Solanum lycopersicum: one gene and its partners. The protein of the gene in region 1 interacts with the protein of each later gene in a pairwise test. Links are inferred from orthologs where the notes say so. Each region holds a gene or a part of one and is shown on either strand. Other genes may lie near its edges. The genes, in order: ArcA2; fructose-bisphosphate aldolase 3, chloroplastic; chlorophyll a-b binding protein 8, chloroplastic-like.

The links.
Region 2: the proteins of ArcA2 (region 1) and fructose-bisphosphate aldolase 3, chloroplastic interact in a two-hybrid assay, tested with the Arabidopsis thaliana proteins (2 studies listed by BioGRID, with this or other methods). The link is inferred for Solanum lycopersicum from reciprocal best matches to the Arabidopsis thaliana genes ATARCA and PDE345.
Region 3: the proteins of ArcA2 (region 1) and chlorophyll a-b binding protein 8, chloroplastic-like interact in a two-hybrid assay, tested with the Arabidopsis thaliana proteins (2 studies listed by BioGRID, with this or other methods). The link is inferred for Solanum lycopersicum from reciprocal best matches to the Arabidopsis thaliana genes ATARCA and LHCA3.

What each region holds. Positions count from the first base shown.
Region 1 is NC_090802.1:64,605,481-64,615,704, reverse strand, and holds ArcA2 (guanine nucleotide-binding protein subunit beta-like protein), read left to right. Parts: upstream 1-4,619; 5' UTR 4,620-4,697; coding exon 4,698-5,576; intron 5,577-6,251; coding exon 6,252-6,353; 3' UTR 6,354-6,600; downstream 6,601-10,224. Other genes in the region: uncharacterized protein, read left to right, coding at 1-45, 1,890-3,084; peroxisome biogenesis protein 3-2, read left to right, coding at 8,009-8,013, 8,307-8,468, 8,585-8,784, 8,868-8,998. UniProt on the Arabidopsis thaliana protein: Major component of the RACK1 regulatory proteins that play a role in multiple signal transduction pathways. Involved in multiple hormone responses and developmental processes.
Region 2 is NC_090804.1:3,185,553-3,196,194, reverse strand, and holds fructose-bisphosphate aldolase 3, chloroplastic, read left to right. Parts: upstream 1-5,308; 5' UTR 5,309-5,560; coding exon 5,561-5,728; intron 5,729-6,742; coding exon 6,743-7,012; intron 7,013-7,153; coding exon 7,154-7,263; intron 7,264-7,401; coding exon 7,402-7,492; intron 7,493-7,710; coding exon 7,711-7,980; intron 7,981-8,173; coding exon 8,174-8,452; 3' UTR 8,453-8,686; downstream 8,687-10,642. Other genes in the region: 2-oxoglutarate and iron-dependent oxygenase domain-containing protein CP2, read right to left, coding at 499-623, 734-820, 930-1,080, 1,175-1,351, 1,539-1,586, 3,607-3,933. UniProt on the Arabidopsis thaliana protein: Plays a key role in glycolysis and gluconeogenesis.
Region 3 is NC_090811.1:4,547,739-4,557,809, reverse strand, and holds chlorophyll a-b binding protein 8, chloroplastic-like, read left to right. Parts: upstream 1-4,458; 5' UTR 4,459-4,620; coding exon 4,621-4,764; intron 4,765-5,167; coding exon 5,168-5,229; intron 5,230-5,344; coding exon 5,345-5,960; 3' UTR 5,961-6,086; downstream 6,087-10,071. Other genes in the region: ER49 (ethylene-responsive elongation factor EF-Ts precursor), read right to left, coding at 6,879-6,924, 7,784-7,872, 9,938-10,063. UniProt on the Arabidopsis thaliana protein: The light-harvesting complex (LHC) functions as a light receptor, it captures and delivers excitation energy to photosystems with which it is closely associated, here photosystem I.

The DNA of each region.
Region 1 (10,224 bases):
AGCTGGACGTGAAACTACTTCTGTGAATAAAAAGAGGAAACTACGGTATGCATTCAATAACTGTGCTCCAGATATTTTTCCTACATGTGTTGTGCTTATTTAATTCACTGTTACTCCCTATTCAAAGAGGAGAAATTTGAAACTATCTTCCCTTTGGATGAATTCCTTCTAGTTGTGGCAGGCTGATGCTGTATTGTCATTTACGTTGTATAGCTCCCTACTCTTGCTTCAATCAATGAAGCAACTGTATCTCAATCTCAAATTAGTTTGTGCATGCTATAGTTTATTTCTCCCCCGCTGCCCAAAAGAAATATTCTTTTTTTCTTGGGGCTGGTAGCAGCGGAGGGAGATGATAGGTAATGATTCTTTAAAATTTTAAATGGCCACTTGGGACGGATTATCCCATCTGATTATAGATGTTATTGCAACTTATTTGGTCTACCATTTGACCTGGGATCTGCTAAAATGCTGCTTAGAGCAATCTTTGTGAATTGTGATCACTGATCAAATTATATATTACTCCCTCTGTTCCACAATAAATATTTTTTTTGGGATTTTGGCACATCTATTAAGTACCACCTAATAAATATTAATAATGAGGTTATTTGACTAAATTACCCTAATCAATTCACGGAGAAGTATAAAGAAGTATTGAGAGACCTTTTAGAAATTTGATCATATAATTTATCAGTTAACCAATTTGGAAGGAAAATAATTATACATCTTTTTTTTTTAAATTTTAAAAAATCATTTATTGTGGAGCGCTGGAGTAATTGTTAAATGAAGTGTAAGAGAATAAACTTGTAACAAGGAGAGGGTCCTACTTAAAAGTAAAAGAAGGGAAGTTTCCCATCCTTGAACTGGCTGCTACTGCGTAATCTGTCCTTGTTTGGTGGGCCATTTGTTTATCAATGTAAAAAAGAGGGATGGGTGTCTACCTTGCTTTGAGTTGTCAAGCTAGTATTGGTGTAAAACATACTCTTCTGAAACAATCATTAAGGTCATTGACACTCGATTTTTCATTAGGGCATCCATAGGAGTATATAAAGTCCTACCCCGCTCCATCTTGTAGAAACTTGGGTTGGACATTTAGATTCTTTCACATGGTATCAAAGCCAAACTTTGATGTATCCATTTGCACAATAACATTCATCATATTTTATTGCTCTGGGCTTCTTTCGCCCAGCTTAGTCCTTTAAAATGCTCTGAACTTTAAACCCACTCCTTCGCATGTTGAGCCTACTCTCCTCTCAGATCAAGGCCCAATTTTCAGCCTCTTGAGCCTGCTCTCCTCTCAGCCCCAGGCCCACTTTCCAGCATCTTGTAGAGACTTGGGTTGGACATTTAGATTCTTTCACATGGTATCAAAGCCAAACTTTGATGTACCCATTTGCACAATAACATTCATCATGTTTTATTGCTCTGGGCTTCTTTCGCCCAGCTTAGTCCTTTAAAATGCTCTGAACTTTAAACCCACTCCTTCGCATGTTGAGCCTACTCTCCTCTCAGATCAAGGCCCAATTTTCAGCCTCTTGAGCTTGCTCTCCTCTCAGCCCCAGGCCCACTTTCCAGCATGTTGAGCCTAATGTCTCTCCCGACATTAAGTTCACACTTCCAATCTTCTCAAACTCAAGATGCAAGTTATGTATGCTGGAGGGTTAGAGAATAAACTTGTTCCTCATCATTTATGTAAGGGTTTCATGGGGGCCAATATAGTCCTGGGCAGCTCCACTCATAGTCTTAAGGTCTTAGGTGGATGCTAAGATTCTTTCACGAACTGCTATTTGTGTAGGAAATAGTTGTCTGGTCATGACTACACAAGTTTTTGTGGAAGGGGTGCGTTTTTAGCTGCTAGGTTGCTTTCTGATTGTTTAAGTTTTTGTTTGTAGGCCCAGAGCAACAAAGGATGATATGGCTCCTAGGTGTGATACAATGTCTGAAATGGAGAAGCCACATGCTGAGGGGAGTGAAGGTCCAGAGTCTTCTCATCTTTTAAAAAGCAGTTTGTTACCTTCTAGAGACCAGGGTTGTAATGATGCAATGAAGAATAAAAGACCGTCTAAACTGCGTCGTAGAAAGACAAAAAAATCTACACCAAATGATAAGGTTCCAGAGGCTTCTGCTTCCACTGATTCTACTATTGCAGATGGCAATATCTGCAAAAGGAGGAGGAGGAGTACCAGTTCACTGGTGAAGAAAAAGAGTAGAACTGTCCCCTCTGCTTCCAGTATGGTTGAATCTACTACTGCAGATGGCAATATCTGCAAGAGGAGGAGGAGAGCCAGTTCGTTAGTGAAGCCAAAGAGTAGAGAGAGTTCATCATCTTTGCCAAATCTGTCTTCGTCAATGGCAGTTGTTGAAGAGGCTGAGTCACTTGTTCAAGACAGCAGGAAGGCCAAGAATGTTATGGATAAATGCAATTCCGCAAGTGAATATGATGATCCCTGTATTAGCCCTCAAGGTCATCCATTGGCACATCCACACTTGGATGAAGGGACAGCTGATCTTAATGTTGGTGAGAATGAAAATGCCTCTGCAACAGGGTTCCAGGATTACTCTTTACTTCTTCAAAGAAATGCTGTTGTGTGCACTGATGAAAATGCTAGTCAGTTCGAAGCTTCTGCGACACCTGGCACTCGGGAAGGTGAGGATTGTGGAGCTTCTGTTTGTCACAAGCTTAATAAATGCAATCAATTGGAGAATAATGTCAAGTCTTCCTTAGATTATCTGCCGCAAACAGCAGATGACGGCATGACCCTTGCTTCTTTTGTCTGTAAATTGCGAGCAAAGGTAAGTTCATCGTCTTCTACTAAGGTTGCCAGGTTGCATTCGGGCAAAGCTCCAAGTAAAGCTATGTCTGGAGATCACTGTAGCAGATCTTGTATATCTGGTGGTCATGATGGGATGGAGAAGAGAAGTAAACAAGAATGCACCAGTTCCAATCAGACATCAGGGACTAAAGTAGAGGATGACATGCCCCTCTCTTCTTTCATTGGCAGAGTGAAGAAAAGGGAGTGTACTGAAGTAGGGGATGACATGCTTCTCTCTCTCTTTGTGGGCAGATTGAAAAGGGAGCGACACTAATTTCTTTTTATAGATTTCCAAGGCTGCATATTATTCTCTGAAGCTATGGTATGGGCCAAAACTGATTCATCCTATCTTCATCTTGGATGCATACATCTACATTGCACAAAAAATTTCAGGTTGCTGGGGGAAACCTAATGAGGTTCACTTGTATAGGCGATCACGATTGGGAAAGTTTTCTCTATTTCCCGCTGGATGCATGAGTTATAAATTGCTCTAATGTATTTTTGTTCTTCAAATTCAGAAGCCATTCTTTCTAATACTATTGGGAGAGCTCTGAAGACGTGGTTCGGGCCTTGGGGGTACTGCATCAGCACTTTTGTCCCTTGTCAATATTACTGTAGAATTTTGTTACCTCTTCGCACTGCGATGAATGTTTTTGTAATCTATAGCATACTATTACCATATAGTTACAATTTTGGTTTGACATACATGCGTATTTTGTTATGATCTTAATGCGTAATCCTTTGGTTGGTTTCATTTTTTAAGTACTAGTTTTAATGGATAATTATAGTTCTATAACTTTTGGTGATAAGTTTAGAAAAATAGCAAGTGTAGGGATTTTTGTGTGTATATTAAGTATAAATATACACATACAAAGAATATAATTGCATACTACTAAAACTATGCCATTAACGTATTGTCTTTCTTTCCCCAGTCAGCGTTAGCTGGTTCTTACTTACATACTTACTTAAACTAGTTGAGGCCGCTTGTGTGGGTCTTGCCTTGCATGGCTGTAATTCAAATAATTTGAGGCTGGTTAGGTTGGTTATTCGGTTGAAATGCAAATGCCGTGTGAGTAGGTGTGAGAAGTTAGATATACTGGGTACGAGGAGAGACTGTAAACTTATGATAGGCCGAATAAGCATTGGAGAGAGATTGTTAGTCATGATATGATACACTTTCATTTTTATTGACAATTAGCCCTGTTGCCTGTCGTGGTATTAGCCCTATTCTTGGAACAACAGATATCTATCATATTGTTTGTTGTATCTTGCTTATCACACTATCAGTGATGTTACCTTTTTCACTAATTACTTGTTAGTTTTCTGCTGCCATTTTTCCATCTCATACTTAAATTTACACTTGTTTCGAAAAATTATTTTGGTAACAACCTCTTCACATTCATTAGGTAGAAGTATATCTTAACCTTCTCAATTCCACTTGTAAAAATTTACTAGATATATTATTATTGTTGTGGTATACTTATTCTGGTCCTATTATTTCAATTTTTATTAAAAATAACTAATCCTATGATAATTACTAACTCCGACATAATTTATGTTGAAATTATTAATTAACAATGAAATAATATTACGCAAACTATTTATGCTTGTCCCATCTACCAAACTCGGCTCGATAAAGTGGTGAAGCTAATTACCCCTCACCCTTGAAATGGATATATCCCATGCAGGCCCAGTAACATGACCCAATTTGCCTAATGGACCTGTAACCCTCAACATTTCTCGCAAAAACCCTAAAATTGAGACATACTATAAAGACATACTATAAATTCTCACCTGTGAAAGGTTAGGGTTTCTCTTCACTGCTGTATCGTCGTCTCACTTGCCTTTCAGAGGATAACCGGAGCGGCGACCACCTTGCTTGACAAAATGGCGCAAGAATCACTTGTCCTTCGCGGCACCATGAAAGCCCACACCGATTGGGTCACTGCCATCGCCACCCCAATTGATAACTCTGACATGATTGTTACTTCCTCCAGGGACAAGTCCATCATTGTCTGGTCTCTCACCAAGGATGGCGCACAGTACGGTGTCCCCCGCCGCCGTCTCACAGGCCACGGCCACTTTGTTCAGGATGTTGTTCTCTCCTCCGACGGTATGTTTGCTCTCTCTGGTTCTTGGGATGGAGAGCTTCGCCTTTGGGATCTTCAAGCCGGCACTACTGCTCGCCGTTTTGTTGGTCACACTAAGGATGTTCTCTCCGTTGCTTTTTCCGTTGATAACCGTCAGATTGTGTCCGCTTCACGGGACAAGTCTATCAAGTTGTGGAACACTCTCGGTGAGTGTAAATACACCATTCAGGACGGAGACTCACACTCCGATTGGGTTTCGTGTGTGCGTTTCAGCCCAAACACTCTCCAGCCAACTATTGTTTCTGGTTCCTGGGATCGTACTGTGAAAATCTGGAACCTCACCAACTGTAAGCTGCGTTCGACTCTTGCTGGACACTCTGGCTATGTGAACACTGTGGCAGTGTCACCTGATGGTTCCTTGTGCGCTAGTGGTGGCAAGGATGGAGTTATTTTGCTCTGGGATTTGGCTGAGGGGAAGAAGCTCTACTCCCTTGACGCTGGCTCCATCATTCATACTCTCTGCTTTAGTCCTAACAGGTACTGGCTCTGCGCAGCCACCGAGTCTAGCATTAAGATTTGGGACTTGGAGAGCAAGAGCATCGTGGTTGACCTTAAAGTTGATCTCAAGCATGAGAGTGAGATGGCTAACGAGAGTGGAACTGCACCAAAAACCAAGGTATTTTTATTATGCATTTACTTGTTCATGGTTGCATAATATTCTTCTGTTGTGTGAACATAATTCTATTATGAATGCTTGGAAATTTATTATTGTATGTAGGGTAAGATGATTAACATATTCAATAAATTCACATTTGCCTCCAATTAGCGTAGGTGTGTAGATTAACAGCTACAATTTTATAATTGCATAGCATTAGGATGATAAATTTGGTTTTGGGTCAATGCTTCAAATACGAAATTCATCAGCAGCTTATTGTTGATTGACTCTTAAGGCTTCTCTTAGATTATTCCAGTTTTCTTGTTGCCATGTTGCTTTACTTGAATAGGAAATGAGCAACCTTGGACCATTCCCCGAGACTACGTCCTTGATGCTTTTAATGATTTTGGATAGCTCTTTATGATATGAACTATTGATCGCCCCGTCAATTTTTCATTTTGCGGGATAATATGAATGTAAATTTGGGTTCTTTTGTGTTTTGTACAGCTTCTTACTCCAATGCTTATTTAGGTTGCTTTAGTATATTTAGAGGTTACATGTTCAGCAATTCAGTATATCACAAACAATGTAGAAGTGTAGTTATGTTACTTTTGTATTGATTTCTTGATATATCCACGGTTGTAACGTCTTGTTACCAATTAACATTTTGCTAATATTGCTGAATCCTTTTGGCAGGTCATTTACTGTACCAGTTTGAGTTGGAGTGCTGATGGAAGCACACTTTTCAGCGGATATACAGATGGTTTGATTAGGGTTTGGGGTATTGGGCGTTACTAGGAATTGCATCTAGGCAAGCTTTTTGGCTATAGTCTCCATTAAAGACGTTTAGATTGTCCTTGAAAATGTATCTGGATTCTCTTTGTTTCTCATGAGTTTGAGAGTTTTGATGTTCCATTTTTGGAATTCTGTTTAGAATTTCGTTACAAGCTTGTGTTGCTGTTATTCCTCCCGGGCTGGTTATGTTTTCAATGCTTTGACCTAATACATGGTTGGATAAGAACCTGCAAGTCACCTTTTTGAATTCATATTCATTGTCCTACTAGTGAAGTTATTGTTACCCTCTCTTTTCCTAGGTTTTACAAGTTTTTCAGTTAAGCAGCATAGAATGTGAAGTTGTGAAAACTTCAAGTTATCGTGAAGGGGAACCTAAATTGGTTTTGTCATTGGTATTATTTTCGAGACCATTTGAGCACGAAAGTATTGATGGATATGCTTTGTCCATTATTTTTTCATGCATTATTGTGTGTTGTTTGGTTTGTTCATACACAATTGACTGGTGCTCATGGTTTGATAGAAAAATTGATTCAAACTGTAATAATGTCATATGCAAGGGTTAGATTAGGTTACAGAAATCATATATATCGACAAAAATGAGATGTTTCTCATCTGCTATATGATTTTCGTATTTGTTTGTCTCTTCTTGAAACAAGGAACATTTTCTTCATCTAATTATTTTTTTAACCAAAAGAATAATGGGAAATGATTTTTAAAACCACTACGAAGATTAGCTTAGCTAGGATGAGATAACAAAAGTAGGGGTTAGACCTTGTTTTTTGGATCTCTATATTTGGTGACTTTCTTGTAGAAGTATCCAATGTGTTGTTTTTTCGACTTAAACATCAATTTTAGGGTTCTGAGAGTGTGTCCATCGTGATCTTAATTTTTGAATTGTGATACGTGTTACGTATGCATCAGGACATATGAAAATTAAGGTAACTAGTCTTAACAATTCCAAATAGAAATGATTCCAATTAAGAATGAATAATGGAAGAACTTGACTTTAATTATAAATTCATGGGAATACTTGAGTTTTTAGTGAGAAACTAAAAAACAATTGGTAGGTATATAAATGTGACTTCTTTCTGTTTTAATTGGTTCGAGGTTTAAAAATTAAAATTATACTTTTTTATATTATTATTTTGAACATGATATATTTAAAAAAATCTAATGTACACGAATCTAATTGATAAAGGAAATTGACTTTAAAAATACAAATCTAACAATAACAAATTATAAGAGAAACTAAGGTTTATTATACGTCTTTTTATCTTTAACTAAAGATTTCGTGATTAAAAAAGACGGAAGTTTATTCATGGTTTTAGGGCTGCAAACGTGACCCTGGGGATAAGCGGAATCTAGAGAAACTTGAGGGACAGTGTATGTAATTATTGCAATTCCTTGTATAGAATAATATAATATTAATGTCAATCATATTATATAATTTTTATTGAATGTCTAAAATAAACCAGCACATCTACTTTTAGTAATTGCAAGGTTCAAAGTCGGAAGTGGCCATCACTACCTAAAGCAATTCTTCCACGGTAGCCTCCGACGATATTGCCGGGAAAGTAAATTAAAATTCCGGCCAAAATCCAGGCCGGCGTCCGGCGACATAAACACACAATAACCTGAGCAACTTGTATTTGGATTGGATGTGGTTTGTAAATTCTATCCCTCACTTTTTACAAGTAAAATATCAATTTGGGTATGAAATTGTACGTGCAGTGAAGCTTTTGTTCTATACCTTTTGCTTTGTCGCAGTTCAAGATTCCTTTTTTTTTTGTGCTGTTTTTTGAGAAGTATTTTGTAATTGCAAATTGGTTGTTCATGTGAGATGTATGATTTGAGAGTGTGTAGTGGTAGGTAATTTGATTGATTAGAAGAGGCAACTGTTGTGGTATTGTTGTTTCAGGGTTTTGTCCTTTTCTGACGCTGGTTTTATTGGGTCAGGGAATTTTGGAGAAGGCATAAGAGGAAGGTATATGTTACATTTGGAGTTCTTGGAAGTGGCTACCTTTTGTATAAGCTGTATGAAGGACACAAGCGGCGACTCTCTGATCTTGAGAGGGAACTTGCAGATGAGAAGAGAAATGATGAACTCATTAGATCCCAGTAAAGATTTTCTCTTTTTAATGTTTATTTTCCTGTAAAGGTGTACTCTTTCCTTTTCATCATGTTTGGTGGATGATATGATATTATGCTCAGAGTTATTTGTCTCTCATCTGTAGGATCAAGGAACACTTCGGGAAAATTCAGACAATCGCCGATTCAACGACATTGCCCCATGTAATGCGACATTTAAGTAGTCGAATAGAAGAAGACTTGGACCTCACACACTTGATGGAGAGGCTGATGAAAGGGAAAGACGAACCAAATTCTCTAACTGCTGCGGAGAAGCTGGAGCTGTGGGACAGACTTAAAATTTCAAGTATGGACTTATGCACCCATATAGTTTGCTTTAGTATTCTGTAGTGGTGTTAGCTTATGATGTTGTATCTCGTGCCTATCCAGATTTTACCAGAATTGTGTTGTCTCTTTGGGCGACCACAATGCTAAGCTTATACATTAGAGTTCAAGTCAATATATTAGGGAGACATCTTTATATTGATACTGCGCGTGGCCTTGGAAGCTCTATTCAACTTGTAAGAACTGCCTCTTTTTACTTGACATGAGTATGATTATATCTTGCATTTGTATTGATTGTTCTATCTAGAATCTGTTGAAGTTATAAGTATTGCCTCTAGATGATTTGATTCCCCACATCTATGTGGTTGTATATTGGATATTCTGTGTGAAAATGAATTAGTCAGACGGTTAATGAATCTCTTTGCTATGTATTGATAATGTATCTTGCAGAGCTTTAATTAATCTGCGGCATATTGTTGACAACAATTCTCAACTCTTTTAGTAATTCCTTTATTTTTTTAAAATCAAGAATATTCTTAGAGTTCTATGTGATGAGAAGATACCTACTAAGTTAAAAATATATTCTACAATATGGTCCTTATAAAAGATCTCTTCAAAATGGTTTTGAGACCAACAATATTGCATGAGAGTGAATGTAAGGCGCATCATACCCTTGATAAATGTTGTACAAATACAATTGAATATAAGGTCATACATGTAGACAAAATTAGAAAAATTATAGCTTATAGAGAGTTGAATGAGAGGGATAGAAGATGAGTTGAAGATCCTTCAACTTTTAAGATGGATTTTTTCTCATGATGCTTGGACTTGTATTGTTTGCTTATGCACGTTGTGTATATAATTGTTTGTTTTGTATAAAGTAACAAATTTATTACCCCCACCCCCATTTGACTTGACACAAATTTTAAGTAAAGATGAAGACGTTTGGAACTTGTAGTCTAAAATAAATCTTAGATATTTGTGTGACTTATAAGTTATTTAATTAAGGAAGAGTTTCTGTTCGTTTTTCCTTGAGAAGGTAAGTAGATCATGAAAATGTGTCATTCTTTTTGGAATAAACTAGAAAGGAAAAGATGCCATATTAATTGGGACCTAGGAAGTATTATGCTGTGGTGCACCCATGGTCTTAAATTCCTGGATCCGCCTTTGGCCCGGAAGTCTAAAGCCCCTTATAATGTTAACTGTTTCATGTAATTTGTGGTTCATGATGCATCCCTTCAACATCCTACATAAAGAGTGTGTTTTTGTGCAGTAGATATTTCATGAGTAACAAAAAAATGGAAAGTTGCAGCCACCTATTTCTTGCATTGCTCGTTAGCTAGAAAGATTTAGACATTGTTCTTTCGGGTTTTCAAGATGACCACTGTTTTTCCATAAACAGTCAAAAACTGAGTTGTTGGAAGTGCAGGGGGTTAGTAAACCATTAAAGAAGATTTGTTGT
Region 2 (10,642 bases), on another chromosome or scaffold:
AGACACTAACTTGGTGGATATCAATGGAGTTATTATTTTGACTTGTAAAAGAAAGGATCCCCTTTCCATTCTGAACCATGAACAGATGGTCATAGATCCAACTTTGAGTTAGTTATCAAAAAAGAAAGAAAAGGGAAGGTCCAGTTTTGAGAATCATGACTTCATATAATCAAAATGAACAGTAAGCCTCTTTTTTGGTAAATACCATCAACAGTAATTTTTTTTAATCAGAGAAAGTTGTTTCATTACTTAGTTATCAGAAAAAGATGCTAAACATTACTTGCTTACGAAGTTGTTGATAAGCTACTAACTTTTTATTGTAATGGAGAATGGGCTACTACTTTCAACAACACAATAACCACCGCGTGAAAGAAGCGGAAGTATGAAAGAATGGAACTTCTTTTTATAAATAAAAAATAATGGAAACATGACTTCCTATCAGAGTATAGAGATTCCACATGCACAATAACTGAACTCATACAATGGACAAATAATTACCTCTGGTTGTGTTTCAACATTCACATGCTTCTCACACCGCACTCCACGGAAGAACAGCTCTCCACCCGAGAATTGCTTACCCAAGCACACATTTAAAGTCACTTCTGAATCATCGACATGGAAACCTGAAAAATAAGTTGTTTAGAAGCAAGGCAGTAACTCAAACAACCAAATAAGTTTTGCGGCACTGGAGCAATAGTTTGCACCATATAATTACTAAATAGAAACAACTCACCCAAGTCAACATCTCTGTCCATTCCATACTCAACAACAAAGCCATGATGGGAATCAAGTGTGGATCCACCAACTTCAGTAAAGAAAACTGCACACAAAATTCAAAGTAGAATATCAAAAGAGATCCAGGTAATCTTCTCACTAAGCTCCTCTTTGTTTTCTTTGCTGCATCCTAATAAAAATATACAAGTTCTTACCTCTCGAAATGGGACGAATGAAATCTTCCATCAACTTCTCCAGCATGGCGTCAAGGCCAAAGTCATCAAGAACGGCACCAAATCTGTTCATCGTATTGGGACGCATTATTCTGAATTTCGTCTCACGGACCCACCTCTCAAAGTTTTCTACCTAATCAATTAGAGCCTGATAAGAAAACAGAAAAGATAAACTACAAAAAAGGAAGTAGATTGCCTGCAAATACAAGCAGCAAGGCAGCTAATACCTCAGCCAACAACATCTCACAAAATCGTGGTTGAAGCATTTCGAACGTAAAAACTCCAGGAGAGGGTTCAGACATTATGTTCCTGAAACTTTCCTCTGAGTTCTCACTAATTGCCTTGAGAAATGATGGCACAAAGAAATTTTGAGCATGCATCGTATATAATTCCCTGTGTAGAGGCTAGAATAGAAGGCAAGCAAATTAGAAAAAGAAGGCGATCAACCCTGCAAGTATATTTTTGAGCCGAAATATAGTTTAAGGGTATATAAGCTATTTCGTATAGTTTAACGGTAGTTTTGACCTTTTTCTGTATTTACAATTATCATTAAAATATTAACCCCAAATCCCTTCAGCAAAATGTAAATACCTGATAGTTTGATATAATCTTCTGTCTGTATTCTCTATGCTTCTGGACCTGTTAAAGCAGAGGAGATGAAACAATATAATATTGATAGAGTTACGAAAGAGAGAGTGTGAATTTCACAAATAGCAGGGAAATTTTTTGGAAACCAAGAACAGTCAGAGAAGACTTTATCAGCAGACAGCATTCCAAATAATTCGCATGTAAACAAGGCTTTCACTAGGAGACTGGGATGGTTTGCTCAACTATTCCACCACATTATAAACAATAACCAGGTAGGTTTAACTTACATTATCAGTTCTTTTAAACCAAAATTTTGGTTGTTCATATATTCATCTATACTGGGGTCACATCTCCCCTGAATTATTCAAAAGAAAAAAGCAAAATGCTGTGTCCAACAAGAAAAAAGCTTAGTATGTAGAACACGACAAAAGGGACACAACATTATAGTCATCATAAGATAGAAATTATATATCTAGTCACTGCATTTTTAATCAGGATCCAATCCATCTGAAAAGCCTTCAAATCATTAGCAACTGGCTTATATATGTTTCAAAAAAAAAATCTACTCTCATTATATGCCCACAAAAAAAATAGAGAACTTCTTTTTTTATTTTTTATGGTGTAATATTGGTCAGAGATAAGCTTGAATTGAAAGATATAGTAAGGATTCATCTTGTCAAACCCAACTTCTTGCCTTCTTGGGGTTGAAGATAGTAGTAGTTGTTGAAGTAAACAGCTACTCAGTTTTGCAATAAAATTGTAACCCTTTCAAAATGTTCATTGTACTCAAATTCAAAGTAGATTGGACCTTAAGCTTACAAATCTCTTTTCCCTTTGAAAAAGTAATAATTGCATTGAATTTGTGGAAAATATTTTTGTGATCCTAGTGTGTATTTAGAAAAAAGTAAAGAACTACACCAAAGAAAGGTTCTCTACAAATAACAGCAATCGTCTACGCTAACTATCAATGGTGAGTGCTTCAAAACTTCATGAGAAACAAACAACATCCCATATTTGTACAGAAATATTTCCCATCCAGTTAAAAGATTTACTATTTTTTTAATTCACTTCAGATAGTCTTTTAAATTTTTACTTCTCAAACTATACAAAAGATAAATCAAAATCCAAAAAATAGCATAAACACTTCTGCAGAACACAAGATCAACTGATAGTTAAAGGCGGACACTATGTTTTCCAAGTTATTCACTACTAATCCTGAGTATCTAACAGCAACTTGCATAAGGCAGTTACAAGCAATACAACGCCTGAAAAATTTCCAGTAATAACCAACCAAAAGTCCCAGAAATTTTCATCTTTTTAACTTCTTTTCGTTATTGTTAGCATAACAGCATTCTATCACATCTCAATTCACAACTCTGCACATAATTGAGCTCAAAAAACTCCCTTTGCCATTTTTCTAGCACTAACTAACAAAGGATTTTCATGTACTCAAATTAGAAACAAGCACTAGAAAACCGGAATCCACATTGAAAATAACTGTACCTAGAGGGTACAGCAAACTCAAATAAAGGAAAAATACATGCTAAATCTTATAATGCAAAGCCCACAATTTTCCAGCTTCTCAACAGTCTATCACAGGTCAATTCACAGCCTCACATTCTAACCTAATCAAAATAATCAAACAGTGCAGAAAAAAACAATGAAGCCTAATACATAGAAAAAATTGCAATCCAAAGCACAAAAAAAATCTATCTTCTAATTTATTTCCATTTTCAGCTTCAGTGTTCTATCACAGCTCAATTCATATGATATGTACACTAATCAAACTGTGCTAAACTACATGCAACATTTTGCAATACACCTCCCAAATGTTTTACATTTTCAGCTTCTTAGCATTCTATCTCAGCTCAGTGCCCAGAAAACTAGGATGCTAAATACATTGCAGTACAAATCCCCACTTTTATTTCATTTCCAGCTTCTTAGCATTCTATCATAGCTCAATTCACACACAAGCTTACATCGTATATACACACTCATCAAAATGCACATAAAAATAAGGACTCGACACATGCAAAACTCAAAATGCAGAAATGAAAATTCGATAACTTACACGAGTGCGTTCGCCTTCAGGAAAGTAACGGAGGAGAATTTCACGCATGAAATGAACCTTCTGGTCACGTGATGAGTTGAGAAGAGCAGGCGGAAGATAACGTTCAAGGGAACTAAACAACAACGGACTGAAATCCAATTGAAGGTCATCATAGTTATCCGGTTTGTGATCAACACTAGGGTTCAATCGCAGCCGGTGAGAAGCGTACGGTGGGTAAACAACACCGTTTGATCCATTCCGAACACAATTCCCCATGCCATTTCCGGTAGAGTTTGTTGATTGACCATCCTTCTTCCAATCCATAGCTGTTGCTCCATCTTGAGACATTGATTCAGTTCAACAATTTTTGATTCAGATTCTGAATTTTGGGATTTGCAGGAAGAATTTTGAATGTTATAGGATCATTCTATCAAATGGAGATTAGGGTTTTTTTTTTCAGCTGAGATTTTGCTGAGGGTGATGAAGATCTTTTTAGGGTTTAGATTTGTCAATTCTTAAACATTTTTTATTTTGTTAATTTATTTTATCTGTTTTTCTAATTTTATTTTTTAGATAATTAGAATATGTAACTTTAAGGCCAGTTCAAAACCGATAATTCGAATAGAAAATAGGTTATATAGTTAATGATTTTAATAACGATTTTAATGATTTGAGATATTTTCTTAAAAAGTTACTTAAGTGAACTCAATCGTAAATTAAAAAATTATTATTATACTCTATATATTTTCAAACGAATAACTCACTTTCCTTTTTCGTTTGTTTAAAAAAAACGATATTTTTTTTAGTAATATTTTAATTTCAGTTTTCCACGTGACATGTTTAAAGTCACGGGATTAAAAAGTTGTAATTTTGTATATTTGACATGACTTTTATTTAAGATCACAAGATTTAAAAGTTTTAATATATATTTCTAAACTCCGTGTTAAGTCAAACTAAATCACTCTTTTTGAAACGGAAGGAGTATCATTTTTCACATATATAGCGTGGACTTAGGGTTTAGTTTCATACTCCTTCCATTCCATATTTATTGAATTGTCGAGGTGTTTCATATCCTTTTAAGAAAAATATATTAAAATATAAATTGGACATAGTTTTTCGTTTTTACCCTTATTAGTTATTTGTCAAATATATTGAAGTCATCAAATTAAAAATTCAAATGAAGGGTAAAATTAGAACATTCTAAAAGTAGTTTTGTAAACTTAATAATTTTGGAAAATGAAAAATGTCTCAAAAATTCACTGAATATGGAATGGGTGTAGTTTATTTCGTTGTGTCAAACTCTTAATTATTCTATAAATGTGATAACCTTTGCTTTTGAACAAAAATGCAATGCACGATCCATTTGGTTTGTCCCCTTCTTCTAACATTTTATATATAAAAAAATGTCAAATCTTAACATTTAAATTGTTAATGATCAATAACCGATAAAACAGTAATTAATAAATCAATTAATTTAATTTATAAACCTACCAATAAATCAATTCGATATTTTAAAATCAAACCGAACCAATCAATATTCATCCATTCACAAAATATATTTGGGTTAAGTAACATTTTTCATCTACACCAAAACCTTTCAAATCATAAAAACATACAAAATAAATTCCACATTCATTTTATTGCGTAAAAAATTTAATCTAATTATTTCATTTTCATTTTAATCTAATTATAAAAATATATATTACCTAATAACATAAGGCTCGAATTCGAAATCTCGAGTTTTCTTATTATTCATTTGGTATCTCCGTAGCTTGAATTGTCCATACTGTTTACTAGCGGACTCTTCGAGGACACCAAATAACAAAAAAATAAGCACACACACTGTTAGCCGTCGCTACCAACCCACCAAACTTTCATTTTCTATATATTGTTTCAACAGCGACGTTTTATACTCAAAAAGCTCAATTTCTTTTGTAGAGAGAGAGAAAAAAGAGGCGATTTTCAGGAGAAAAAAATGGCGAGTTCTAGTTTGGTGAAGCTCAACGCATCGTCATCTTCATGGATCGGTCAACAATCGTTCAATCAACGGTCTGGATCTTCCTGCCGGTTGCCTGTTTCGAATCGCCGTGTTTCAGTCATCCGTGCTGCTGGATCTTACACCGATGAGCTCATCAAAACCGCTGTAACACTCTCTCTCTCTCTGTTTATCTATATATGTATATATGTATGTGTGTTTGCGTTTCTCACTTTTATGTGTTTGCATGGTTTATGATCGGATCTATAAGTTTTCTTTTCCGGTGTAACTTGATTTGTTTTATATTTTTCGTTTGGATAATGTATTTTTTGTATTGAATTCCGCTGTAATACTGGAATTTTTTGCAACTGCGCTGCCTTGGTTCGTTGGATTGGTTGAAATTGGAAAGGTTTAGTTTGGTCAACTTTTTGTTTATTTAGATTTTTATGCTGATGTTGATATGTTTGGCTGTAGTATCAGTTGGATCTAGTAGCTTCTTTTTAGTTTAGATCATGCATTTTAAGTTGAATTTTTGGTTAGAAAATGTGTGCTAATTTACTGAATTTTGAAAGTTTGCTGCTGTTGGTTCAGTAGGTTGATGGAAGTTTAAGAGGTTTGCTTTTTGGTCAGAATTGTTGTGTTGGTATTGTTTATAGTGATGCTGATAAAGTTGGCTGTAGTTATAAACAGCTAAAACAGCTACATGGTTCATTCTAATTTTACAACAACTACAACATGTTAACATACCAGTGTAGTCCTGCAAGTGGGGCATGGGGAGGGTAGTGTGTACAGTGACCTTACCCCCTAATTTAAGAAGGACTTCAAAATCTTAAATTTAGGTTGATGACTTGAAAATTTGTTTCCCAGAGCTACATGAAAGTGATATCTCTCCCAGGCACACACACTTCATTTGTTTGCATGTTTTCTGATTGGATTTAATATCTTGGATTCGCTGGATTAGGAAAATGTTTAGTTGGTAAACTTTGTTTTTATATGTTGATGTTGATATGTTCAGCTGTATCTATAAATTGGTTCTCTTGCATGAAGTAACAACTACATTGTATCCACCCGCTTATAACTCACCTTTGCTTAACATTCTTGTAAACTTGGAGAATGCAGGGTAAAAGATGTTCTGCAAAATGTAATAATGCTGAACATTTGTCTATTGCTTACTTGATGTAGAAAACTATTGCTTCTCCTGGAAGGGGCATCCTTGCCATTGATGAATCGAATGCAACTGCCGGAAAGAGACTGGCGTCAATTGGTCTGGACAACACAGAAGCAAACAGACAAGCTTACCGTCAACTCTTGTTGACCACTCCTGGCCTAGGTGATTACATCTCTGGATCCATTCTATTCGAAGAGACACTTTTCCAGTCCACTACCGATGGGAAGAAGTTTGTTGATGTCTTGCGCGATCAGAAGATTGTACCTGGAATCAAAGTTGACAAGGTGTCCTTTTTAACTTGTTTCTATGCCTTGTGTAACTTCTTCTGTGCTTTAGGATTTTGCTGCTACCTTTCTTAAACTTTTGTTGCAAATATTTTTGTTGGTGAACTTCGTGCAATTTAACAGTTCTTTTTTTACTTACAGGGTTTGGTTCCCCTACCAGGATCCAACAATGAATCCTGGTGCCAAGGATTGGATGGATTGGCTTCTAGGTCTGCTGAATACTACAAGCAAGGGGCACGTTTTGCCAAGTGGTATGTTGTGACCTTGCACTTTTCTACTGCTATTCCTCTCTCATGTTTTCTCTTATTCTTTCCTCGGAAGATCAAAGTGCATTTAACTTTTCTGAAGAGTTATGGAACATAAATGGCATGCGGCTTCAAAATTTTCAGGAGAACAGTTGTTAGCATTCCTTGCGGTCCTTCTGCTTTGGCTGTAAAAGAAGCAGCTTGGGGTCTTGCTCGATATGCTGCTATATCTCAGGTAACTTTTAGGACTTTTTCTATCTTTCCGAAGTTGTACTAGAAAATGTGAGATAATTAAGTCAACAGACCCACCCCCTTAGTTGGTTGAACTTGTTTTTGGATATCCTCCGATCTTCAGAATTGGAGGATAATTTTTAAGAATCTGCATGATCTGGGGAACAATGGAAGTTTGTCTTTCTATTTATGGATGGTTAAAGATCATTTTTTTTCCTACAGGACAATGGTTTAGTGCCAATAGTAGAGCCTGAGATTCTTTTGGATGGTGACCACCCAATAGAACGAACCCTTGAAGTTGCGGAACGTGTTTGGGCAGAAGTCTTCTACTACCTAGCAGAAAACAATGTCGTTTTTGAAGGTATTTTGCTCAAACCTAGCATGGTTACTCCTGGTGCTGAACACAAAGAGAAGGCTACCCCAGAAACCATTGCTAAATACACACTTACCATGTTGAGGAGAAGAGTTCCTCCTGCAGTTCCTGGAATCATGGTACGACTTACTTTCTTCAATTCGCTCATTTGTTTCTCATTTGATCAAAATTATCCATAGAAAGATTAGACTTTATAGAAACTACACTCTTGGACCTTATTTCTTTGAAAAACTATAGTTAAGTTGCTACTTTCTTTCTCTTTCTCTTTTTCTTGTTCAACTGTGCTAAAAATCGTGTTTTTCTACTTATCAGTTTCTGTCCGGAGGACAATCTGAAGTGGAAGCGACACTCAACCTCCACGAAATGAACCAGAGCCCCAACCCATGGCATGTATCTTTCTCATATGCAAGAGCACTCCAGAACACAGTGCTCAAGACATGGCAAGGACGTCCTGAGAATGTGGATGCTGCACAGAGGGCACTCTTGATTCGTGCAAAAGCAAACTCCTTGGCTCAGCTCGGAAAATACTCCGCAGAAGGTGAAAGTGAGGAAGCCAAGAAGGGAATGTTTGTCAAGGGCTACACCTACTAAGCACACTTTGCTTTGATGCGACTTTCTTTTTGTGTATTTTTCAGTTTTTGTTGTTTGCTAGATTCGAATGCTGAAGAGAGAACTAATTGCTCTTTCTTCTTTTTTGATCTTACATTAGTACTGTACTTCACTAATAAGCTATGAGGGGTGATTCGTCGAAATACAATCCCAGAAAATGCTCGGTTGTGTAGAAAATCTTGTATAATTATATTGAGAACTTCTTAAAACGGGTAATATTTTCCATGTCTCCATTTGCTCTTCATAGTTTAAATTCCTCTTTGTTAGCCAGAATCTTTTTTCAGAACAAAACTAATTTGCTTTGAGAATTTGCAATGAGTATGATTATTTGTTGCGTTCTTATCTTAGTTCTGGGGGTACGACTTGTGAAAGCATAGTTTTAGTATGAATTTGAGGTGTTATGGGGATACTTCATTTGGTACAGCAACCATGGCTGAACTTTAAATTACAAATATTTAAACCATATTGTGGTTAACCAGTGTGTATTATACCCCCTTTGACATTTCATACAACATTTGTCCAAATAAAAATACAGTCTAATGTAAAGTATTGGGTCCATACAAAAGAAACTGCCTCTACTCCATCAACAAGATTGAACTCTGCAAAAACAAAACCGAACTTAGCTATATATATCTGCTTTGGGAAGCCTTCTTGGCGGGCTTAGCTCGTTTTTAGATTGTTGTTTTTCTTGATTGAGATATGACAGCTGAGAATGATGGACTAATCTGAATGTAATGCCGCCCCCTTCCTATAACCTGATCAACAAAAGAGAGTTGATTAGAAATAAACCAAATACATAAAGTCAATAAGTTTAGTAAGACACAGAAAAAGCTTTGGCAATATTGTAGGAATTGAGATCACACGGGACTCAAGTTTCTGATGATAAGAACTAAGAATAGTTTTTCGATAACCACTTCTTGTGAGGCTAAAAGGATGCTGCCATGTAAGAAACTATGGTCAATGTTGCTCGGACTCTCCAAAAGGATCCAACACTCACTCTTGCATTTTTGGAGAGTGTGAGCATATAGGCTGTAGTAGTTTCCTGGCTTCAATCATATTCTTGACCATCATCTCCTGAAAGGCTTCTTAACTATTAGCTACTGTTAAAAACTGTGAATCGCTGGAACAGAACTACATTCCATGTTTCCAAATACTTAATGGAAGAATAGAAAGAGTAATTGAGTAATGAGTAAGGACCATGGTCTATACACTTTAGAGAAGAGGCTTTAAGAACACTAAATAGGATAACTCCAAAGAATAGGTGGAAAGAAGGTGAATCTAAGTGAAGGCAAATTCAAGAATAGATTGCGTACAGTTTCTATCTCATAATCCTAAAAAAGGCACTCCTTATTACTTAAGCCAAGGTCTCTCGGAAACAACTCTCTACCTCCACAAGATAGGGGTAAGTCTGCGTACACTCAATCCTCCCATACCCCACCTGTGGGATTACACTGAGAATTCCAGTTTTCAGCATAAACAATTTCTACTCTAATAAATTATATATATGACATGTGGGCCATGAGCCAACAAGAAATTAACAGAAGTTCTCTTACCTAACCCAGCTTTGGGAGGAAGTCTGTTAAAAAACTTCCAAGTGAACAAAAGCTTAAGAGAGGCGAAGGAATTTTCTAAGCAACCCTATAAACTTAAAATTTAACAGCTGAGGGAGGAGTGTAGATGTTGGAGTAAATATCTTTAAACTCTTGTTGGAAAGAATGGGATCAGTTAGACTCACAAAATCCAAATAACACGCACAATTATATGATAATCCATAGCAAAATGGCAAAGTGGGAATGGTTAGGATCTCAGGAGCAATGTTTCAAAGGAAAATGGAGGAAATGGATCACTTCAGTTGTAAATGGGATAGAGTTACCGAAGACCTTAATTGTTTTCACATGACCCATTTTCCATTTAAGACACTTATGGAAACCTTCTCTACCAACTAAGATGCAATTTCCAGGTAGAAAGGACTTAAATTTATGATATTTTCCATTTACTGCTAGAAAGAAGAGAGCCATCTCTAGAAAAGAAGAGAGCCATCTCTAGACCAGATACTCAACTTAATTTTTTAAAGATGAGTAAAATTAAAGAGACCTTTTCTTTGTTTATCCTCTCCCCGGTTGAGTTGGTTTACAGGTCAAGAAAAAGAATAATCTTCATATCAACTTTGTG
Region 3 (10,071 bases), on another chromosome or scaffold:
GTTGCCTTTGAAAGGCCGGTGATTTCTCCAGTTTTCAGTGTTATGATGAAAAACGAACGTTGCTCTGTTTTTTGAAATTTGAAAAAAAAAAGTAGACAGGGACAATAATATAATTCTAAATGGGCTTATACTACCTAGGATTCTAATTAAACTTTTATCCGCAATTTTCACATATAGCAAATAAAAAAATTTATATTTGTATGTTATAATAAAATTTATATTTATATGTTATAATAAAGTTTGCATAATAGCAAACATAGAAAATATATAATTCGCTATATATATTATTGAAGCAAAATTATATAAAACGAAGTGTATAAAACAAGAAAGAGAAAGACACTTGGGCAGAAAACTGTATAAAAATGAAGTGTATAAAATGAATTGTATTATTATAAGTGTATATAAAGATTATATACAATTTGAATTTGTATAAAATGAGAAAGAGAGAAAGACAAAAGAGACTTGACAAGGAATATACAATTGAATCGAATTGTATAAAACGAGAAAGAGAGAAATTAGATACAATTTGAAAATTGTATAAAACGAGAAAGAGAAAAAGGCAAAAGAAACTGGGCAGGGAAGTATTTTTATTGTATAATTATAAGTGTATAGGACGAAAATATATATACTTGCATGCGTATATACAATTTTCTCACGCTTTATACAAACAGAAACGCAATTTATAGATTTCCCTTCTGTAGTGAGAAAGACGAAAATGGCAAGCGAGATATGGGAGAGTGGCGGACGAGATCTGAAAGAGGGAAGAGAAGGGAATAAAAAAATATATATTTATACAATTTTCTCTGCTTTATACAATTAGAAACAATTTTTATACATTTGTGTTTGTATAAAAAGTGAGGAAGCGAGCGAGAGACTGGAGGAGAGTGGCGAGCGAGATATTTGGGAGAGAGGCGCCTGGCAATTTTTTGCAAACGTTTGCTATGAAGCACAATTAAATCAAACCCTAGCTACTCCATTTATTTTAGATTATTAGTTTGCTATGATATACAATTTTTATCGGAATATCGGAGATTTGATTTTATAATCGTAAAAAGTTTTTATTTTTTAAATAAAATATAAAAGATCTGAACAAAATATCTGTTTAATTTTTAATAAGAGATTATTTCCGTCAAACTATAAGAGTTTGGTCAAGATTTTGGAAAGTTAAAAGGGTTCTTTTTGGAGTTTTTATTTAGAAAACTTAAGGTGTTTTGACTATATTTTAGAAATAAAATAAGTATTTTTGAATGGTTGGAGATTACTATCCATTAATGGGAAAAGGGTCTGATATACCTCTCAACTTTGTCATTTAGAGCTGATATACCCCTTGTTATGAAAGTGGCTCATATATACCCCTACTTGTAAACAAATGACTCACATATACCTTTTTCCTCTAACGGAAATGAAAAAAAAATTAATTTTAATCTAAATTTTTATTATTTTTTTCTAAAAAATATAATCTCATATGAGTAAATTTAATCATCGTCAAACATATTTTTTTTTGACTTTTTTTGTTTCAATGACTAATTTATAATTATTATTTTGATAATCAAATTTATTTTTGTTTCACTAATATTCTTGTAAAACTTATTGTAGATGACCAAATTTTTTCTTCGAATACGAAATTAAATTACAATACACACACAAAAAAATAGTTTAATTTTTTTTTAAACTAAGGAATGAAAGAAAAAAACAAAATAAGAATAAGAAACTCAAATAATTATAATAAAAGAATTCAAAAAATAATTTATGTATGAAAAAAATTAAAATATACCTTGAACTTTAATAAAAGAATCATATATACCACTAAATAATTTTTTTAAAAGAATTAGAAGTAATAAATATAAATTTAAAACTAATTTTTCAACTTCCGTTAAATGAAGAGTATATGTGAGCCATTTTGTAATGGCAGGGGTATATGTGAGCCATTTTGTATAACGGTAAGGACATATATGAGCTAACGAGGGATATATCATCTTCAAATGACAAAGTTAAGGGGTATATCAAACCATTTTCCCTTCATTAATTTCCAGAAATTGTTGGTTCAATATTGATAAAAGTAATTTTCAAATGGATTAGTTTAATGTAGTAGTTTTCTTCAAAAGTTTATTTTTCTTCCAAGAAAAAAAAACTTATAATTAGAATCATTTTTCTAAGATACGTCGATTTTTTAAAAGTTTTGTAAAATTAATTATATTTGTGATAAACTTTTTACCTTGATAAAATTTATACATACATGTACTAGTACTATATAAACCAATGAAGATAAAAGAGTTCAAAATTATAGTAAAATCACTTTGGTTATGCTAGATTTTAAATATTCTTACACCGTAATTTCTTTTTTTTAAAAAAAAAAAAAACATGATCCATAACAAAAGTCAAACTTAACGTTTGAGGCTTGCGCTTTTACGTCCAGAACTTACTCCTCAAGTTCGAAAATGTATGACTTCTATTACTCCAGAGTGTTTTTTTATGTAAGGGAACTCTTAAACTATTCAAAAAAATTTAAAAATACCTCTCATTCACCTACTAGGTTAAAAATACCGTTTCATCCACCTTTCTGGTCCCCAATTACCCTTAAACTAACAATCTTTTATTTTTTTAATTATTATTATTATTATTAATTATTATGTGGCATCTTTTTATTGGATAAATTTAAATTTCAACCCGCCAAATTTTTTCTACCCATTTAACCCATATCCACATTCTTTGGCCCAAACCCAATTAAAAAATTATTCAACAATGTCAAAATAAAATTAATGATTGAATCAATTAGTATTTGAATTTGAAATTTACATAATGATATTTGAATTTAGTCATATCAAATATAACTAAAAAGCTCTTCTTGATTGTGTTTGAATTTGATCTTTCTTGTTTCTTCCTTTTGGTTCACACCATGAATTCAATTTTTTTAAGGAGAAATTACACTAGATAGCTCTTCTTAATCGTGATTTAATAGTGGAATTGATATAATTTGACTTGGTCTCGTTTCTTTCTTCCCCTTTTGGTTTACACCCTTTTCAAAAGATTCAATTTTCATGGTTGAGTTACACTAAATGAGTTGTTATTAATTGTGTTTTCATGGTCGCATTGAGAAAACCTGAATTGGGTCTTCTTATTTCTTCCTTTTGGTTCACTCTTTTCAAAGATTTTATTTTACATAGTGGAGTTACACAAAAAAGTTTTATTTGATTGTATTTTAATGATAGCATTGACGAAATTCTAACAAAATCAAGAAGAGCTTTTTAGTTCTAATTAGCATTAAATTCAGTAGTTATCATTGATTGAGGTTGTATATGGTGATGAGAAAGAGAGTAAGTTATTAGGTTGGAATGGTAGAGAAGAAATGTTCAAATATTTTATTTTTGATGAATTTTTAATTTGATTTGGGTAAAAAAAAATGTGGATATGGGTCAAATGGATAGAAAAGTTTTGGTGGGTTGAAATTTAAATTTATCCAATAGAAACATGTCACATAATAATTAATAATAATAATAATAATTAAAAAATAAAAAATTGTTAGTTTTAAGGGTAATTATGGACCAAAAACGAGAATGAAGGGGTATTTTTAACCCAATAGGTGAATGAGGAGTATTTATAAACCTTTTCTAATAGTCCAGGGTTATTTTTGACCCTTTTCCCTTTATGTAATCCGCCTAAAAACTCACCTCAAACACGTTTAAAAACACTGGAATGGATAAAAATGAGACGATGAACGTGAAATGTCACTTGTGAACTTATTTTCCTTTCTTTCATTAGATTAGTCATTAACTTATATTTATTTTCAAACAAACTTTTTTTTTGTAAGAAAAACAAAAAGGAGACAATGAACGTGAAATGTTACTAGAAGAAACTTAATTTCCTTTCTTTCATTAGTTAAGTCCTTATCTTTATTTTCTAACAAACTTATTTTTGTAAGGAAAACATCTTCCAAATACATTTTAGCCATATGTGAAAAAATTGCCATACCAAACTGACATCCATAATGTAAAACTTCTCAAAAGTATTATTTAGTAGAAACTTTTGAAGACCACCCTCTTGCCTTAACTTGTCTTTTTTTTTTTCTTCTTTTTAAATTCAAATTGATTGTCTTAATCTAATAAAAATTGTAGGTGGCACATCAATACTTCGACAATGGAGATCTTAGTAGATTGACTATCTGGCGTTTTATCTTATTGGTGAGAGTTCAACTCTCCCTCCACCTTTAAAACAACACTTAAAACATATATTTAATCCTCTTTTGTGTGGAATACTTAATAGTATTGATATTTACATTTACTTGAATTCCAAAAATGAAATTAAAATCTAGAGCAAGTATTTGCAGCCAACTAGAGTATCTGAAAATTCATTTATGAGACTAGGAGTGTATAAAATCTTCTATCCAAGTAATAATGCCACATGTGCTCTTTTCATTTGACAATATAATCCTTAACTTTATCTGAGAATTCAAGATTTCTTATGTCCACCACAACTTCTCTGTTTTCCATTAGCCCCACACTACACTTGCTGGCCTATACCTTTGTCCCTTATTTTGCTTGCCACCTTGTGTCTACTACTCTTGGAAGCTGAGTGTGTGTTCATCTTCAACACAAGTCAATTGCTCTAATCAGAAAACAAAAGATGGCAACACAGGCATTGATCTCTTCATCATCTATTGCATCCTCAACAGAGGCTGCCAGACAAATTCTAGGAGGAAGACCTTTCCAATCTCAAATCAAGAAGGCTTCCTTTGTTGTAAGGGCTACTGCCACTCCACCTGTTAAGGTAACACCCCTTTCTTCTTCCTTTCCTATGTGAATAACAAGAATATTGACATACATATACATACAATGGTCGTGTAGTTCGAATCAGCATATAGCATTGTTTGCATGTGTTGAGGTTTTCATCCCACTTCATTTACTACTAGGACACCCATGGGTTACATTTGGTTTGTGTGTGTATGGTGTACAACAGTGGAATTTGAGTCAGCTTTGCCTTTTGAGTTTTGACTAGTCCACCAGATACTTGTACTTCAAAGCTTAGGTAGATGAGAGAAGAAAGCATATGGCATCACTCCTCTCATTTGAAGCCTAGAATCTGGGGTTTTCAACTCACTTCATTTACCGTCAAGCTACACCATTGGGTTACATTTGATTTTTATGTATTGATATATTTTTGTGTTGAACAGCAAGGAGCAAATAGGCCTCTCTGGTTTGCCTCCAAGCAGAGCCTTTCATACTTAGATGGCAGGTAAGACTGATGGGACTCTCACTTAACCCTTATATACATTATTTCATAACTTGTGCATGTTGTCTATGCAACTTGTCTGATTACTCAATGAACTTCATTTGTATGTAATCCACAGCCTTCCTGGTGATTATGGATTTGATCCCCTGGGACTGTCAGACCCTGAAGGTACTGGAGGTTTCATTGAACCAAAATGGCTAGCATATGGAGAGGTCATCAATGGAAGATTTGCTATGTTGGGAGTAGTAGGAGCCATTGCGCCCGAGATTCTTGGAAAGGCTGGTCTCATCCCACCAGAGACGGCCCTTCCATGGTTCCAAACAGGAGTGATTCCTCCAGCTGGAACATACAACTATTGGGCAGACGGCTACACACTATTTGTACTGGAGATGGCACTCATGGGATTTGCTGAACACAGAAGATTCCAGGACTGGGCCAAGCCAGGTTCTATGGGTAAACAATACTTTTTGGGACTAGAGAAAGGCTTGGGAGGTTCTGGAGACCCAGCATACCCAGGTGGACCTTTCTTTAACCCTCTCGGGTTCGGAAAAGATGAGAAGTCTATGAAGGACTTAAAGCTAAAGGAGATTAAGAATGGAAGACTAGCTATGTTGGGTATCTTAGGTTACTTCATTCAAGGTTTGGTAACTGGAGTTGGACCTTACCAAAACCTCCTTGACCATTTGGCTGACCCTGCAAACAACAATGTCTTGACCAGCCTCAAGTTCCACTAAACAAGGAGCAAATCACCCTGTTTTAGCTACCCTGATCTGATATGTAAACATTATGTGCAGATATTATTTTGCATATCATTGTAATCAGCTAAAAAGGACATGTCAACAAAAACCTGTTTTTCCTGAGTTTTAGCTGTTAGCTTCCTGCTGCAGTTTCTGCAGCATTCTTTAGGATCATGTGTAAACTCAATTCTCTAAGACAAAAAAAAGAGCAAATACTGGATTAAACATAGCATTAAAAGACGTTAAACTAAATTTGCAGCAGAGAAACATGGATGAAAGCACAAAGGGATGTAACTTCCATGACGAATAGTCAGACCAGTAATAAGTAAACAGCATACTTGTGCAGGCCTCTTAATTATCAGTCTACTATCCTCAGTTGTGTCCAAATCTGACAGGTATTCCATCATAGGGGAAAAAGAAGTCGCTAAACAATACAGACAAAACAAGGACATCATTTGACATTATAAATAAACAATCATGGAAGAATAATCTGTCTGACCAACCAAACAAAATTAACTCGGTGAAGACCTTATTCTATTTCCTTTCTTTTTGATGACCAAGAAATCCAAAATGGCTAGTGGCGTGCAGTTTGGAACTCGGTGGATACTGCCCCTCTCCACTCTTCTAAACTTAATATCATGCTTTGTCGAACCCATGACATGCAACTAATCCACCATCAAGTGTTGCTCTCTTACCACTAGACCAAAACACTAGAGCAATGAAGACCTTATTCTCTTACATTACTGGCTATGATTCAAAATGTAATACAAAACCTCTTCAGTTTAGCTAGCGTATGGAATCACGTTCAGAAGTGCCACCATGAAGACTACAATCAGAAGATCAAAAACTAGAAAGTAGAGGCCTAAAGTACAGTGTCTTAGGTAGTTCTCTCACGATCCTGACATAAATTGTTCATCAAGCAGCATTAGCCAAAGGTTCACTTTCATTTGATGCTTCAAGCCTGCAAGGTTATAACCAATAATACAGGAGTCAAACAATGCAAAAATGAATTATAAGACAAGGCAAGTAGTGATGGCCTAATGGCATCCCATTTGCAGCTCTGAATTAGCTACTTCAAAGAACATGCAGCTCTGAATTAGCTACTTCAAAGAACATGATGAACTCTTCCATCTATCATCTTTTCCTGACATCTTACGACAGAATGTGAAGAAGTAGTAGTACAATAAAAGTTTTGTTACTTCATTTTGGAGTTATTTTTATTAGTATAATGCTTGTGCAATGCCTCGCCAAAAATGACAAGCATTCAAGAAAAACAGATAATTGGCTTTTATAGATGCTTAGCTTTCTAATGACAAATTAGTGTTTGGCACGAGTGCAAACTATTTTAAACCATTCGGTAGATATTATGAAGAAAAAAAATCCAAAAAATATTGTTAAAGCCCCCATGGCCATCTGCTAGACAGTGGTAAGCTCATATATTGGTTAGTTTCAAGAAATAAGCATTGTTTTGTCGGGATCTCTTTCTATGTTGGATCTCTTTCTAGGTGAACTGGTTCAACTCATGGACTGCATGAACGTGCAATCGGAAACAAAATCATTATTTTACTAGAAAGTAAAAGAAGAATGTATTCTAACTAAGCTGAAGTGAAATATGCAGTTAGTGGCAGGAAAGGAGGAAAACACTCATTAACAGAAGAAAAAAACCCACTTTCTGAAGCTTAAATAATATTCCTGCTTGAACTGGCAGGTTTCACAATCATGACATTAAATTCAAGATGGAAATTCAAGGATAACTTTTTCTGACATAATTTAACCAGGAAAAGTAGAAAATTACAGGTCATAAATATGAGTATAATTACCGCTGAAGTCCTTCGCCAACTTCCATTCTTAGAAAGCTTCCTATCTTAACTGGTGAACCAACATCCTTGGACAGATTGCTTAACAATGTCTGCAAGTTTTTCATAGATGAGTCAACTAGTTAGTCATCTATATAAACAACATATGAGAAGGCAATACATGTAAGAAACTATGCAAATTAGAAGCTGCAATGTCGTAGAATCTAAAACATGATTTAGGAACCAACTAAAAAAAATAACATCCTCAGAAATCCACAGCAAAAAAGTAATTTGATGTTTATAACAAGCATTTACTTTCATTTGGAATGGAATAGTCAGACAATTGCCAGGTGGTACCAAGTTATCTTTCTTCCTTCAAGGTGATATGTTAATTTAAGACTTGAACCTTGTACAAATCTCCTAACATATGTTATACAGAAATATATCTAGATAGGACCCAACACAACATAAAAGATACAAATTAAACAAGAGATGAGAATATGCACAAAAGTATGTTTGTAACTTCCAGCCTAGCCATTAACTCCATATGTGCAACAGTAGTTGGGCCAATAACAGTGAAAGTGCTTACAACTCTTTAATTTTCAAAAGATGGGCTCCCAAAAAAACAAATTACACAAACTGGTTTAAGTTGTTAGTTCCACAGATGTAAGAACCTTGTCGAAGAAGAGCTAAAGCCCTAAATCTCGATCAGGTTGAGTGCCTCATGCGCTTAAAAAAAACAATCAAATGCCTGTTCTTTATATTAAAAAAAAAGGTTCATCTATGAGGCTACTATGTTCGCTGCATATTCATCAAAACAATTTGTATGAAATATAAATTCAACTGATAAAGAATCTGGAATAAAAACAAATATGCAGGGATAAGTCAAAGTGATAGGTAACCAACTAAGCATTGCAAAAGGGTGACAAAGAGGACCAACAAGAACTATCCAAAACCAAGCTTCAAGACCCTATTCTGGGCATAGTCATATAGAAGAAGAGCATGTTGATTTAAGAGTAAGAGAAATAAGGGGTCGGTTGGTAGGGTGTATATGAATAATGCTAATTAGAGTGTATTAGTAATGTTTGCATTAATTATACATGATTATTTCACATGCATTGTTTGGTTTGATTTATTAAAAATAGCATGCATTGCATAAAAATATTTATTTACAAAGATACCCTTCACAATTATGGTGAAAAATATGTAAAAAAAGTTGAGGGGCAATGGGTTCTTAACCATGCTAATGCATGCATTAAAATCCTTTGCATTACTAATACCTAAAAATTCATGATATTAGTAATAAACCTTCATACACAATAGAGTGTATAACAAATACTTGCATTAGTTATGCATAGCATGAAAAAGTGTACCAAACAAGGTATTACTAATACACATTTAATAAATGCATTATTTTTGCTAATACACGCTACCAACGACCCCTAAGAGATTGAGGCCTATAACTCTACTGATACCTATTAAAGCTGTGGAGCAGTAGGAGAAAATTATGGATGAACATCTTAGTATATAAACAGACAATTTCTGAACTTTAGTATAAGAAAACCAGATAAATCTGAGTTCGAAATTAAAACTGTATATTAGCATCTGAATCAAAATTTTAAGATGGTTCTTCGGCTTAATCTTATATGGTTCCTTGAGATAACTGACATGCTATTGTATTTTAATTGACTGCAACACAAGTAACAAGTCCGTCAGTGCTTCCTCTGATGCCTTCAATTCATTCTTCTTCATTTTGTCGTTTTGTTGTGGTGTTCTTTTTCTGTAGTTGGTATCAGAAAGTTCGCCTAAACTTGGATAAACTCCATAAAAAGGTGGATCACCCAACAAATGGACCAGCTCAAAGAGAGGAGGAAGGCAGGAACTATGCTTTCAGAGGTGTCAGCCAAAAATTATGACTACGGGGATATTTTTAGTTCCTCTGCTCAGTCATTATTCAATATAGTAATTTTTATTCTCCTATTTTGTATACATACATAGAGACACATAATCTGTCTTCATTCTGCATTTTTAGTCACTAAAACGCATGTACTTAGTTGCATTTTGCACTTAAAGCATCAGCAGACCTTGGACTATGGCAAGAGAGTGACCTTCTAGTGAAAGGGAGTAGAAACAGAAATCTAGCAAAATGGCATCCTAACTAAAAGATTACTTTCTTACCTTCACATTCATTGTGTCATTCACAATAAATTTCTGCTCCATCAAAACCACTTCCTCAAAATACTTGCGCAAACGACCTTCAACCATTTTTTCTACAGCAATCTGAGGCTTCCCAGAACTCTCTGCCTGTAAAG